Linked DNA regions of Coturnix japonica. The protein of the gene in region 1 binds, or shares a complex with, the protein of each later gene. Links are inferred from orthologs where the notes say so. Each region holds a gene or a part of one and is shown in the gene's direction. Other genes may lie near its edges. The genes, in order: NMUR2, NMU and guanine nucleotide-binding protein G(i) subunit alpha-1.

Region 1 (4,043 bases):
CATTTTTCTTTAAATTCCAAGGTTATTGGACTACTGCTAATTCAGAAGTTAAAGTAGGAAAGAGTAGGTCAGAGAAGATGTTAGAATGCAATAAGACACTTAACTGTGATGCCTTCTGTCACAGAATCATTAAGGATGGAAAAGACCCCTGAGATCTCAAAGTCCAACCCCAGCCCATAACCATGTCCCTCAGTGCCACATCTTCATAGTTCTCAAACACCTCCAGGGACACTGAACCCCCAGCTCCCTGGGCAGCTGTGCCACTGCATCACTGCTCTTTCTGAGAAGAAATGTTTCCTAATATCCAACCTGAACCTCCCTTGGTGCATCTTGAGGCCATCACCTCAACGAGGGATCAGGAATTAGTCAGGAGTTAAATACTCTACTGTGACACAGTCATCACCCTTGTAGGTCAGAAAGTACATTTGTAGAATAGTTTTCATTTGAGAAGAAGAAATCTATGAGAATTCATGTAAATTCAGATCTAGAGGCACTAAATTCATCTTTGGAGTAATATGATCTTCAGAAAGATATGATCCCCAAATGAGATCAAATTCCATCATTCTCTGATCTCTTCTCAGCCCTTTTTCCAACCCCCCAGTGCAAATTGCATGTGCACTTTGACACAATGCTCCCTGATAAAAGATGTAAAAATAGTGTGATATAAGAAGAGCCATAAAAACCCTGTGTCAGATTTCAGGAGAAATATATATATATGTATATATATACTCCTTAAAAAGAGGCTGAAGCTGTATAGATACCTATTCCACAGGAATGACTACAAAGACAGGACGACTTTCTGCCAATCACACTCTATTTCCAAGTACTTACTGCTGCAGCAAACAGAGAATAAAAATCAGCAGAGATATGAAAGATAAAATCATGCTGGATTTTCTTTCTTTGCTGGTGGAGAGCAGCAACACAGTTTTTTTTTGTGTCTGGTTCCCCACCACCTGACAAACACAAGCATCTCACGGCAAGTTTCTCACCCTATATTTCACATTCCCATCTCTCTGAATCCCACATCTCTCATTCTGTAAATGTATCTGCTACAGGAGCTAATACAAGTAGCCAGAACCTCTTTTCTTACTCTATAATCTAATGCACTTAGTGAGCCAATGAATATGTGTGAAAGGAGGGGCTTTCTGGCTTAGGGACTCCTCACAGGGGAGCAGCTGTTACAACAGCAAACCCTCAACCGAAGCCAGGCAAACACTCATCTCTCCGTGGCTTTGTGCATCTAGGTCTGGCAAGGCAACTCCTCTCTCTATCTCCCTGCAAAAAGTGAGTGAACTAGCACAGAGGGACTTACAGAAGGCTGGATTTCAGCTGTGGGACATTTCAGCAGGTCCAATAATGGCCTGGATCAGCAATTCCTCCTGGTTTAACCACCTTGTTCTGCAGGAACATTTCAGGAGGTACTTAAACAGCACTGAGGATTATTTAGCCTTCCTATGTGGGCCCAAACGCAGCCATCTGTTCTTGCCCATGGCTCTGGTGTACTCTGTGATCTTTGTTGTTGGGGTGATTGGTAACTTCCTAGTTTGCCTGGTGATCCTTAAGCACCGGAACATGAAGACCCCAACCAACTATTACCTCTTCAGCCTCGCCGTGTCAGACCTGCTTGTACTACTTTTTGGGATGCCACTGGAAGTCTACGAGATGTGGAGCAACTACCCCTTCTTGTTCGGTCCCATTGGCTGCTATTTCAAGACAGCTCTCTTTGAAACGGTGTGCTTTGCCTCCATCCTCAGCGTGACCACAGTCAGCGTGGAGAGATACTTTGCCATCCTCCATCCCTTCCGTGCCAAGCTGGAAAGCACTCGCAAGCGTGCCCTGAGGACCATCGTGGTGCTTTGGGTCCTCTCCGTCCTATTTGCCCTCCCCAACATGGGCACCCATGGTATCATGCTGCAATATTTCCCCAATGGCACCATGGTCCCTGGCTCTGCCACCTGCACTGTGGTTGCGCCCATGTGGATCTACAACTGGATTGTCCAGATTACTTCCTTCCTCTTCTATGTGCTGCCTATGGGGGTCATAAGTGTGCTGTACTATCTGATGGGGCTAAGAGTAAGTCCTGCTCAAGTGCTCAGTGTTTCTGTAACTCATTCTTGTGTGTTTGTGTCTGTGACTTCAACATTTTCTTGCCCATCCGTCTTGCCAAAAATATATATATTTATAAATATTATCTGTTTGAAGCCCCCCCGGAAACACCCCTTCTTTGCTGTAATCCTGTGCTCAAAAGAATACAGCAATGCTTTGAAATAATACACCCCAACCTTTTTTAAAAGAGAACCTATTGCTTCTCACATTTGAATGTCATTTAAACATCCCATTGTGTAGACTGATGATTCCAACCTCTCAGAGATTTACACCTCTGTGATAGGGACTAGAAGGAAATAAAACAGAAGGAAAATGTGGAAAGAATGAAAAGGAGTGGGCTGGTGATAGAATCCTGTGTATGATTTGTTTTCTCTCTTCTTGTAACTGTGGAATTTCCATTACACCTCTATTTTTTTCCTTCCCTGGAGAGGATGTTAATATTCAGTTGTTAAAACTCACAAAGCTGTCACAAACTGAAATGCTCCCTTGCTGCTGCAGCTAGCAATTTCAGCAGTCTTCTCTTTGGATAACTGTAGTACAATTTCACCACTGATTAAGGCTACCTTAGAGCTCACATTTGGGATCTCTTCAGAAAATGAGACTAGTTTTGCCAATTGCCATTATTTAAATAGAAGGAGAAAACAAGTCAGCATCACAGCATTATTAACCTGTACAGCCCAGTGTTACTAATCATAAAGAATCTGTGGGTTTTTTCTTCTCTTATGTTACATACATTTCAGAAATATGAATCCTATCTCACTGCACTGGATATAATTTAGAGTTTAAAATGCTGTGTTTGATCACAGAGAAAGAAAGGGATGCAACACGCTTGTAAAGACTGATTAACTTACCAAACAACGTGCAAGAAAATCAACAAAATCTGTGCCAGCTCATACATCTTTTTATTGTTATGGCTGGTATTTACTGCTCTCTGGAACTAGAGAAAAGAAATTTTTCCCTACCCTGGAAAAGCTAAAGGGATTATCTACCAGCAGTCTGCACACTCAGAAGATCTTTGAAGCAACTGCAGTTCAGTGGCTGCTGTGGAATCTTTGCATAGTTTCACAGTTCCTAATCCTCATCCTAGAAGAGAAGCCAGGTGCCAAACAAGGGCTTGCTCCCCAGGGATATCTGTTTATTGATAGACTTGTTCAAGCTGTCTTTCCTAAGGGCTGCAATATTTATTGTATATGCCTTAGCTTTTCTGTGTATCCAATTGTTACTTCCAGATTTTAACAACACGTGCCCCCGGTTTGTCTGCGTTGCATTCCAAGCTGTGCTGGGCAAAGGTTTCATTTTTATGTTCGACAGAAATGATAGGGAAATGGTGTGCATGTGTAATTTCCAAGAGAAGACTTTTTTTCACTACTCACAGCTGATGAAAACCTTCAAGCTTCAGCGACACTGCAGAATCTCCTGAGTGCCATGCATTGCTCACAGATAGCAGTGGAAAAGCTCGGAGTTAACCTGAACAACATCTGCAATTCAGCAAACATCTCCATTTCAGCAGGCAGAGGCATCACTTCTAGCTGACTTTGTGGAAGAGCATCTTTTTCATATAGTTTCTCCTTCAAGCTTTGACAGAGCTCCAGAGTTTGTGCCTCAGGACAAAACAGAGAAGGAAGCACGTGTGACACATCAGGCAGTTGTGAAAGGGTACCCTGTCATGTGGTCATTGACTTAATTCTTAGTTTCATTACTTTTAAACATAAATATATATGTTTATCTGTCCTTCTCACATGACCAACTGAGACTTCAGGTTGATTACTTCATCACCACCACCTCATGATCAACATGGGTTTAATTTTACAACTTTCTGGTTTAACACTACAACATAAAAGTCAAGTTCTAGTACTTGAGGTAGTGTGGATTTTTGACATTCAATGAAGAGTGCAGAGAGTCCAGAGACCTGTTTGCCCACCTACCTGAGGCATCTA
Region 2 (4,367 bases), on another chromosome or scaffold:
CCACCACCTCCTTGGGCAGAGTTCCAGTGCCTCACCGCCCTTACTGAAAAAGCTTTTTCCTTATATCCAATCTAAATCTCTCCCTCTTTTCATCTGAAACCATTTCCCCTTGCCCTGTCACAAAAGACAGTTTTAATGTTTTCATGCAAGTGGATTCAGCAAAATAGTTCGATGTGCAACGTTAAAACAGATATCACATAAATTCAACCATGCGACCTCTGTGCATTTCTGAAGTCTTCCATCTGAGAAGATACCATTTTTGTGCTGTGCATAAAATGTTATTTGCACCTCAAGGCAGGATAAGAACATTGACTGGGATTAAACTTTCAAATTTATAAAATACTGTCCTTTATTTTCCCATGCAATCTTTTGAACAGTTTAATTAGAAGGTATTAATTAGCAAAATGCACAACAGATTAAATCCCTCCAAAGGCCAAAGCTCAGGGTGCTAATTTATGTATTTGGATTAAGATAGATGAGGGAGTTACCTTTCAGCTCTAATGACTACCAGTTTATGATGATGCCTTCTAAATAAATATCTGTTTTTATTAAGAGAAACCAGAACCAAATGCAGTTCCTTGTTTTGGATTAAAACACCTCTTTTAACTGGGTAGATGTGAATACAATAACAAATACAAAATACAGGCTTTTTAAATTTCTCTTCTGATCCAATAAATAGTATTTCCATCAACACAAGGATTAATTCTGTCTCCACTCACATCAAGAAAAGCTTTGCTATTGAACATGATATAGAAGATCTTCCTATGACAGATACACTGCGCAGCCGGCACCAGCCCAGCACCCTGCTGTGCTTCTTGTGTGCTGGTGGTGCTGCATTGAGTTTTGAATCCTCAGATGGGCTGTACCACCATATCGCTGTGTTCTGCCTCCTGGTGTGGCAGTTCAGGTGTGTGTGCACCTTCCCTGCTGTCATAGGGCTCACCCAGTGTCAAGATAAGAAGCTGATTTCCGCTATGATCGCAAAGTTGGGGCTGTGCAGAGCTTCCTCTGCTGTCATTCTGGGGATTAAATGCAACAGTGCTGCTCCTTCCAGTAAATTCTCTTTCCTTATTAGAAAGAATTGCAGTTCTGCCCTAGAATTGCAATTCTGCCCATGGTGTAGATGGGGAAGCAGAGTCAGCCACAAACACACCTGGCGGCTTCTTTATCACCTGGCTTCATCCTCCTCTCGATTAGAGCTCTCCAGCTGTCAGGTGGGGTTCCAGTTTTAGCATCAGGCAATGCCCGAATCTCACCTCCACCCCCCCTAGTTCGCCTCCACCCCCTCCATCCGCGGCAAGGGGCAGCCGGCCACAGCTGGGGTTGTTCTTTTAAAGCGAAGAGTTTTTTTCCCCGAGGGGTGAGGTGAAGAAGCAAAGACCGTCCGGTTTCCGTCCCGAAGCCGAGCGGGGCCACGCACAGCCGCAGGGGGCCGGGAGCGGGGCTGAGTCACCGGCGGAGCAGAGGGGGTCTGCCCCGGGCGGGGGAGGGAGGCCGGCGGGGCGGGCAGGGCGGCTGACGTGCGCTCCGTGAGTCAGGGTGATGCTCGTCCACGTGTCAGGGAGATTTAAAAAGTTTGTGCAGGGAGCGGGGCACGGACAGCGTTGTGCAGAGCAGGGCACGGCGGCTATGGCACAGCTCTGCCAGCAGCAGCTCCCTGCGGCCATCCCCCCGCGAGGCCCGGGCAGCGGCGGGGGGGTGCCGGGTTCCCCGCTTCTCTTGCTTCTCTTCCTCCTCGCCTCCTCCGTGCGTGTCTGCAAAGGTGAGGAGCATCTTCCCGCAGCCCCATCACCGCAAATCTGGGGGGCGGAGGGGTTACCCCGGCGTCCCCGCGAAACCCAAAGCCTCGCAGCGCTCCGTCGGGCTGCGACGGGGGAGCGGGGTGGGATCCGTGCGGGGGTTGCGGAGGTGCCGAGGCCAGGGCCAGGATGGGGCTCGTCCCTGGACAAGGGTTGGGGTGAGGAGAGGGGCTCCTCCACCTGCCCTGGGGATAACTCTGTCCCGGCCAAACTGCGCTCTGGTAAAGGGGGAAAACGGCTGTAGATCAAACCGATGTGATCGTAGTGGGGATGGACGAAGTTGATCAGCTACTTAAACAGGGAGACCGGTTATCTGTAGTGTCATTGAGAGTGCTGTGTTACACCTGGAAGCCGCTATTTTTATATGAGGGAGCACTCTAAAGTGAGAGCAGCTGATGGGCATTGCAACAAAACACAGTGCCTTGCCCTGCCCGTCCTGCTGTCCCATTCTACGTGCATGAAGTGCTTACACCTTGTGAAGCACTTTACATCACCTGTCGCCGTGCACCGAGCAATTAGTTCTGTTTGCCTGTATTGGGGATGAGCGAGTCACTTTCATCAGGAGCTTTTGTGCTGGGTATTTGTAACGCACCGCATACTGTGTTAGAAATGAATTCTGGAGATGGGGGAGAGAGGAAGGAGGGAAAAGGAGGGTGAGGAAAGGCAGCGACACATCACACTGTGCTCACAGAGATGACTGAAATCGTGCACCTGACACTTGCGAAAGCCCCTGTGTAGGTCCAGCAGTGTTCAGGGTGATGGAGGGATGCTGCTTTGCACTGCTGAGACTGCACCTGCCATCAGAGTTCTGTGAGTGAGCTGAGGAGGGTTAAGGAAACCTATAGGGTAGTGAATCATGGTGCACTCATGGCTACCAAGGCACCAGTCCCAGGCAACGCTCCAAAGTGAACACTCTGAATTAAGAACAGAATACAATGACAGTGAGAACTGTAGCACACTTAATTTATTTGGAGCTGTTCCTTGAACTAAAGCACGCATCAAAAAAGCACAGTTTTCATTGAAAGGCAGTTTTACTGCCATGTAAACCTTGCAGAGATTTCAGAAATAAGCAGTTTCTACGCAGGATGAAGTTAAGACTCCCCTCTATCACTGTTCATGCTGATCTCAAGCCTGTGTCAATACCAAAAGGAGCTTTTGCAACATATCTATTATGCCTGGAAGTTATTCCTGTTGCTATTTGTGCTACTTGGAGATGCCGGGTTCACATCCTGCTCACCTGGCTATTCTCATTAAGACTACCTTCATCCTTTTCTTTGTTTAATTTGGCACAATTATTTGGGGAGAGACAAAAAGCACCAGAGGTAACTATAGACTTTATGGGAGGCTGTAAAATCTCTGCTTACCAGTGACCGGTAAAAACAGAGCATGAACTGGCTGGGTATGGTCACAGACAGCAACCTTGGGCACAGGGATAAACTGGATGACTCCTGGCAAACCTTACCATGCCGAGAGCAGACACGCTTGGGACACGCTGCTTTTAGGATACTCACAAGAATGACCCCTGCTACGCAGTGTTGCTATCGTTGTTTGTGCTTCCAGGTGTTCCGATGCCATCCCAAGCGTTGGAGGCAGAGCAGGAACTGCAGCTGTGGAAGGAGGTGAGCTCTGCGGGCAGGCTGGCTTTGCCAACTGCAGAAAGGCCGTGGCTCTAGGGTGAGGGCTGGGAGCATCCTTGCCAGCTTATCCCTGGTAGGTCAGGGATACAAGTTGAATGCTATTTCTTATTCCAGTCTTTGTTGTGGTCACGCCTTCCCTCTCCATGCTTTCTCTCATATGAAGTTCAGGTGCTTCCAATCCTACTTCTCCCACGTACCTGTTCTGACATTGGTGAAGATGTGAAGCACCTAATTTTCCAGATTTCCGAACAGTATCCAGAGATTTGGTGCTGAGATTTCATGTGGGGAACAGACTGCTTTGGCTCAGCAGAGAGCTCTGTTTGGTGACAGTGATCCTCTAGCTGTCATTGACCAGGAGGTCACTGTTCTTGGAAGCAGCACAGTGTCCCGATCGATACTTTTATAGTTGGTGTATGATAGGCACTGACTGTTTCAGCTCATTCAATCAGTCTCTGGCTTCTTCTGTTCTGCAGACAGGGCTGGGACACAGTATTCAGTCACATCTTAGCATCTTAATTCACAAAGTAGAGGATAACACCCCATTGCAGTTTGCCTTTCTAACATTTTTTACTAACCACAACTATACTTTTAATTCTCATCTCTGAAATTTATTCCATGATGTTACTTGTGTGTTGGCATGAGCTCTTTTGTACCCATTTGGAGCAGATGGAGAATCAGAGCATAACATAGATAGAGGGTTCAGCTTGCAAGTTGTGTGCCCTGCCATTGCTGTAACTTTTCAAGTGTTCTGTTGATATTTAATTTTGTAGCTTCTGATAACATTACAAAGCAAGTGACTCACCCCGGGTACAGCTGCACAGTGTAAATTTCTTCCTTACTGTCAATGCATTTTACAAGTATTGACTCAACCACTGTCATGTTCTTAGCCCGGCACTTGAACAAGTCCTGGTGGTGCTTTGCTCCTGGGAGA
Region 3 (3,569 bases), on another chromosome or scaffold:
CATCATTTGGGATCACTTGGGATTGGACAACTGGTGATCTGTTTGCATTTATAAACACTATTAAGCTGTATGAAGTTTAATGCTCTCATGCACAAAAAGAAGAACAAAGATTTTCCAGAGTTGAATGATTTCTTGTCAAAATATCTCAATTTTGAAGCTTAGCAAGAGGCATTTAGGTTTTATGTTAAAAATAATTTGTAATGTGTTTGGAACAGTTGAAGTTTTTTGTATTGGCTAGGTATTTGAAGTGTAGAAACAGGAATTAAATGTGTTCTCAAAGATGCGCAAAAATGTAATGAATTTCCATTTATTTTTCAGGAGCTGGTGAATCAGGGAAAAGCACAATTGTCAAACAAATGAAGTAAGTATAGTAAAATACAATCATAGAGAGGCTTCTTTTATTTGAATAGAGAATTTATTTTTTTTTTCCTTCCGTAGGATTATCCACGAAGCTGGTTATTCAGAAGAAGAATGTAAACAGTACAAAGCTGTTGTCTACAGTAACACCATTCAGTCAATTATTGCTATCATTAGAGCAATGGGGAGATTGAAGATAGACTTTGGTGATCCAACCAGGGCTGTGAGTATTGACGTAAACGTGCGCATATACAGCTGAAATATCCATTCTGTTTCAGTTTCTATCCACTGTTATTTCCTGAAAAAATCTCTTCATATCCAACAGTCCTTGTAGGCTAGAAGGTTTGATAAAAAAGAAATGTCATTTAGTTTTCTACATGGTGAAGTGCTCTACTGATCAGTTAACTCTAGGTTGATTCATCACAACTATTTTGTTTATGTACAGACCTCCAAATTCTATGTAAATCCCAGTCTGAGGGATTTTTTGAAAAATAGTAAGCTTTGTAGTTGTACTTCTTAATTTTTACTTAATGGGCTGCTGTAAGTCCTTCAAGGTGATCATTGCTTTCCTTAAAAAACACAGATTAAACAGGTAGGCATCTAGCTGTTCTCTGCACTTCTCAACACTTCTCAATTGAGTCACAGACACAGTAGTGCCTAAAACATTCTCACCTGTAGGCCAGATCCAGCATCATACTGACTAATAGTGTGAATTACTTTACTGTACTCTACAGGCATAGTGCTGCTGCTTGTACTCCTTTTTTTTCGATGATAGCACTGGATTAAGGATTTTTCCCAAGAAAACAGTTGCCCATTTCTTGCCCTTCTTCTTGTACATTTTTCATCTCTTTTCATCCACTTATTGGAGCCAGTCTGCAGAACTTTTTGCTTATCACTTTACAGTTCCTAATGCTGTATACTTATATGTGGTGAACCTGATTGTGTCCCTGTCAGATCAGGAGGGTAGATGCCGTTTATGAAATGTAGATATGAGACCAGAGATTTTCAGGGTAGGATCAGTATGTGAGTGCATATTAGTTCATTTGTACAGTGAAGTCCTCCTTGATCTCTGACAGTTAATGTTGGAAGAAAGGTGGATTGTATATTTTTGTTACTAAATACGAAGTGAAAGAAAATGGAGTAGAGAGTAAGTGTAGATTTTATCAGATAAAAGGACTGACAAGAAGATTGTGAAATTATTTTATGTATTATACGAATTTTTCATTTTCATCATGTATGATAAGGAATTTTTCAACTTCAGAGAGCTATATACCTGAATGCAAACTCTGTTGGGGATATTCCGTAGCACTTAAGCAGGTCTTGGTGATCTAAATTCTTTTTACAAAGAAAAATTGCTATTGAAAATAAGTATTAGTCTTGAAGTAATTTCAAAATGAAAAACTGAAAAAGGAATGTTTTTGGGATGCAAGTCTGCCTTTTTAGAAAGTCTATGGGATGTTCTTCATTGTACTAAATATAGGCCTTTAATTTTTATTTGATTTTATTAGCATTTCTACAGAAGAAAAAATACGCAAAATTGCAGTGTCCTGAGGAAGGCTGTTATTCAGGCTCTTCCTTTGTTTTTTGAATTGAATTTTTGGAGATTTTACTCTGAAAAAAATAAATTTGTTTGGAAAATTGCCTGTTCTCCCTTGTCAGAATAATGGCAAAGTAACAAGTTGAATATTTTCTTTCATGAAACTACTGAATCAGGAGAGCACAAGTTATAACAGGAACTTCAGAAACGGTCTGTCCTGGGATTAGCATTCTAATTCTAATATGCATTGTAACTGTTCTGTTCTGTCTGAAGGATACAACAATAAAATAAAGTTAATGTAGACTTCAGCACAAAGTGTATAAAATATTTCTGTTCATAGAAGCTTAGTTCAAATAATAAACTGATCAGAATTTTTATCAGCTGTTGCGAAATTACTGAACTCATCTTTTTCTCTTGTTGAAAAGAGTGGGAAGTAATATCTAACATAGGGTACTAATTGCTTTCCTTCACATTTTTTGTTTAGTTATAGTCATGTATACCAAGTGGAGTAACTCTTGCTGAATGTAGTTTTTATTCTTAGGTGATGGGGAATTTAGTATAACCTTTGTTGTATTCCTCAATGTTTCTCTCTCCACTTTTTGTTTACATCCTAAAGGATGATGCTCGTCAACTCTTTGTGTTAGCTGGAGCAGCAGAGGAAGGATTTATGACTGCAGAGCTTGCTGGTGTTATCAAAAGACTGTGGAAAGACAGTGGAGTACAAGCTTGTTTCAACAGATCTAGAGAATACCAGCTTAATGACTCTGCTGCCTAGTAAGTACTGTGTGACATACAAGGCTCTCTTTTGTTTTCTATGCAGTAGATAAAAAATTTAAGAGAACTGTAAATTTTTAAGTAATTCTCCTCCCACGTAGATGGAAAACCTAGAAATATCTAGCCAAAGATATTGTATACTTGGATCAGAATGCAAAACGCAGCCTTTGAGAACAGAGAAAAAGAGATGTGGTGTATAACTATGAGTTTAAGTCACATTCTGATCAGTTGCTAGATTTATTTTGAAGAAAAAAAAATACTTTGAGATACTTTAGTATTTTTTGTAGCATTTTTATTACAAAATTGTGACTCGGTTACCCGTTCAGTATCAGGACATGTCCAGGAAACATGACTAATTGATGTGAATCTGTATTACAAGGACTCAATTTCATGTTCATGTCAAATTTCTTCTACATAATTCTCCAGTAGAATTCAAATTGCCACATTTTCTTTGTTAACCTACAGTATTTATTAGACATACAGAGTAAACATAACAACCAAGCTGTATTTTTTTGTGTTAGGGTACTTTGAAAAATGATAATAGGAAAAAAGTTAGGAATCCAAGGTATGATGAATAGAGTATGACAACAGTAAGTAAGGGTAAGTTTGTTAAGAAAGAGTCAGATAAGGACAAAGTAAGATGGTAGACAGGTGTGACAGTTGTTATCCTAAACAACTTAAAGTACAGTGAGATAACTACAGATGAAGTTATGTAATGAAAGACACTCTTAATAAATAACACATTTCGAGCATGATCATTACTTTGTTTGTTGGTCTTGTTGAGATGAGCTCACAGTGACAAATCTCTTGACTTAAACAATAATAGCACAAGTATATAAACTTCCCTCTGTACAGAGCTCTTCATTTAGAAGGATCCCTCTTCCTCTAGTAAACTCTGCTT

The links.
Region 2: the proteins of NMUR2 (region 1) and NMU are in contact, whole or in part, in a cryo-EM structure (PDB 7XK8), measured with the Homo sapiens proteins. The link is inferred for Coturnix japonica from reciprocal best matches to the Homo sapiens genes NMUR2 and NMU. Residues at the interface, in NP_064552.3 of Homo sapiens: Ser42, His43, Gly98, Glu102, Glu105, Met106, Trp107, Arg108, Asn109, Tyr110, Pro111, Thr123, Phe126, Glu127, Asn181, His185, Pro199, Ser201, Thr203, Cys204, Val206, Tyr213, Phe284, Arg288, Phe291, Glu295, Trp297, Ser298, Glu299, Ala302; in NP_006672.1 of Homo sapiens: Glu146, Phe152, Ala153, Ser154, Gln155, Gly158, Tyr159, Phe160, Leu161, Phe162, Arg163, Pro164, Arg165, Asn166.
Region 3: the proteins of NMUR2 (region 1) and guanine nucleotide-binding protein G(i) subunit alpha-1 are in contact, whole or in part, in a cryo-EM structure (PDB 7XK8), measured with the Homo sapiens proteins. The link is inferred for Coturnix japonica from reciprocal best matches to the Homo sapiens genes NMUR2 and GNAI1. Residues at the interface, in NP_064552.3 of Homo sapiens: Thr78, Thr80, Glu143, Arg144, Ala147, Ile148, Pro151, Phe152, Ala154, Leu156, Met239, Leu243, Gln259, Cys262, Arg263, Val266, Leu330, Ser331, Arg333; in NP_002060.4 of Homo sapiens: Glu28, Ala31, Arg32, Leu194, Ile343, Ile344, Lys345, Asn347, Leu348, Lys349, Asp350, Cys351, Gly352, Leu353, Phe354.

The regions. Positions count from the first base shown.
Region 1 is NC_029528.1:5,369,006-5,373,048, reverse strand, and holds the start of NMUR2 (neuromedin-U receptor 2), read left to right. Parts: upstream 1-1,198; 5' UTR 1,199-1,356; coding exon 1,357-2,073; intron 2,074-4,043. UniProt on the Homo sapiens protein: Receptor for the neuromedin-U and neuromedin-S neuropeptides.
Region 2 is NC_029519.1:58,656,317-58,660,683, forward strand, and holds the start of NMU (neuromedin-U), read left to right. Parts: upstream 1-1,537; 5' UTR 1,538-1,542; coding exon 1,543-1,762; intron 1,763-3,359; coding exon 3,360-3,418; intron 3,419-4,367.
Region 3 is NC_029516.1:10,219,500-10,223,068, reverse strand, and holds part of guanine nucleotide-binding protein G(i) subunit alpha-1, read left to right. Parts: intron 1-318; coding exon 319-361; intron 362-438; coding exon 439-580; intron 581-2,510; coding exon 2,511-2,668; intron 2,669-3,569. UniProt on the Homo sapiens protein: Guanine nucleotide-binding proteins (G proteins) function as transducers downstream of G protein-coupled receptors (GPCRs) in numerous signaling cascades.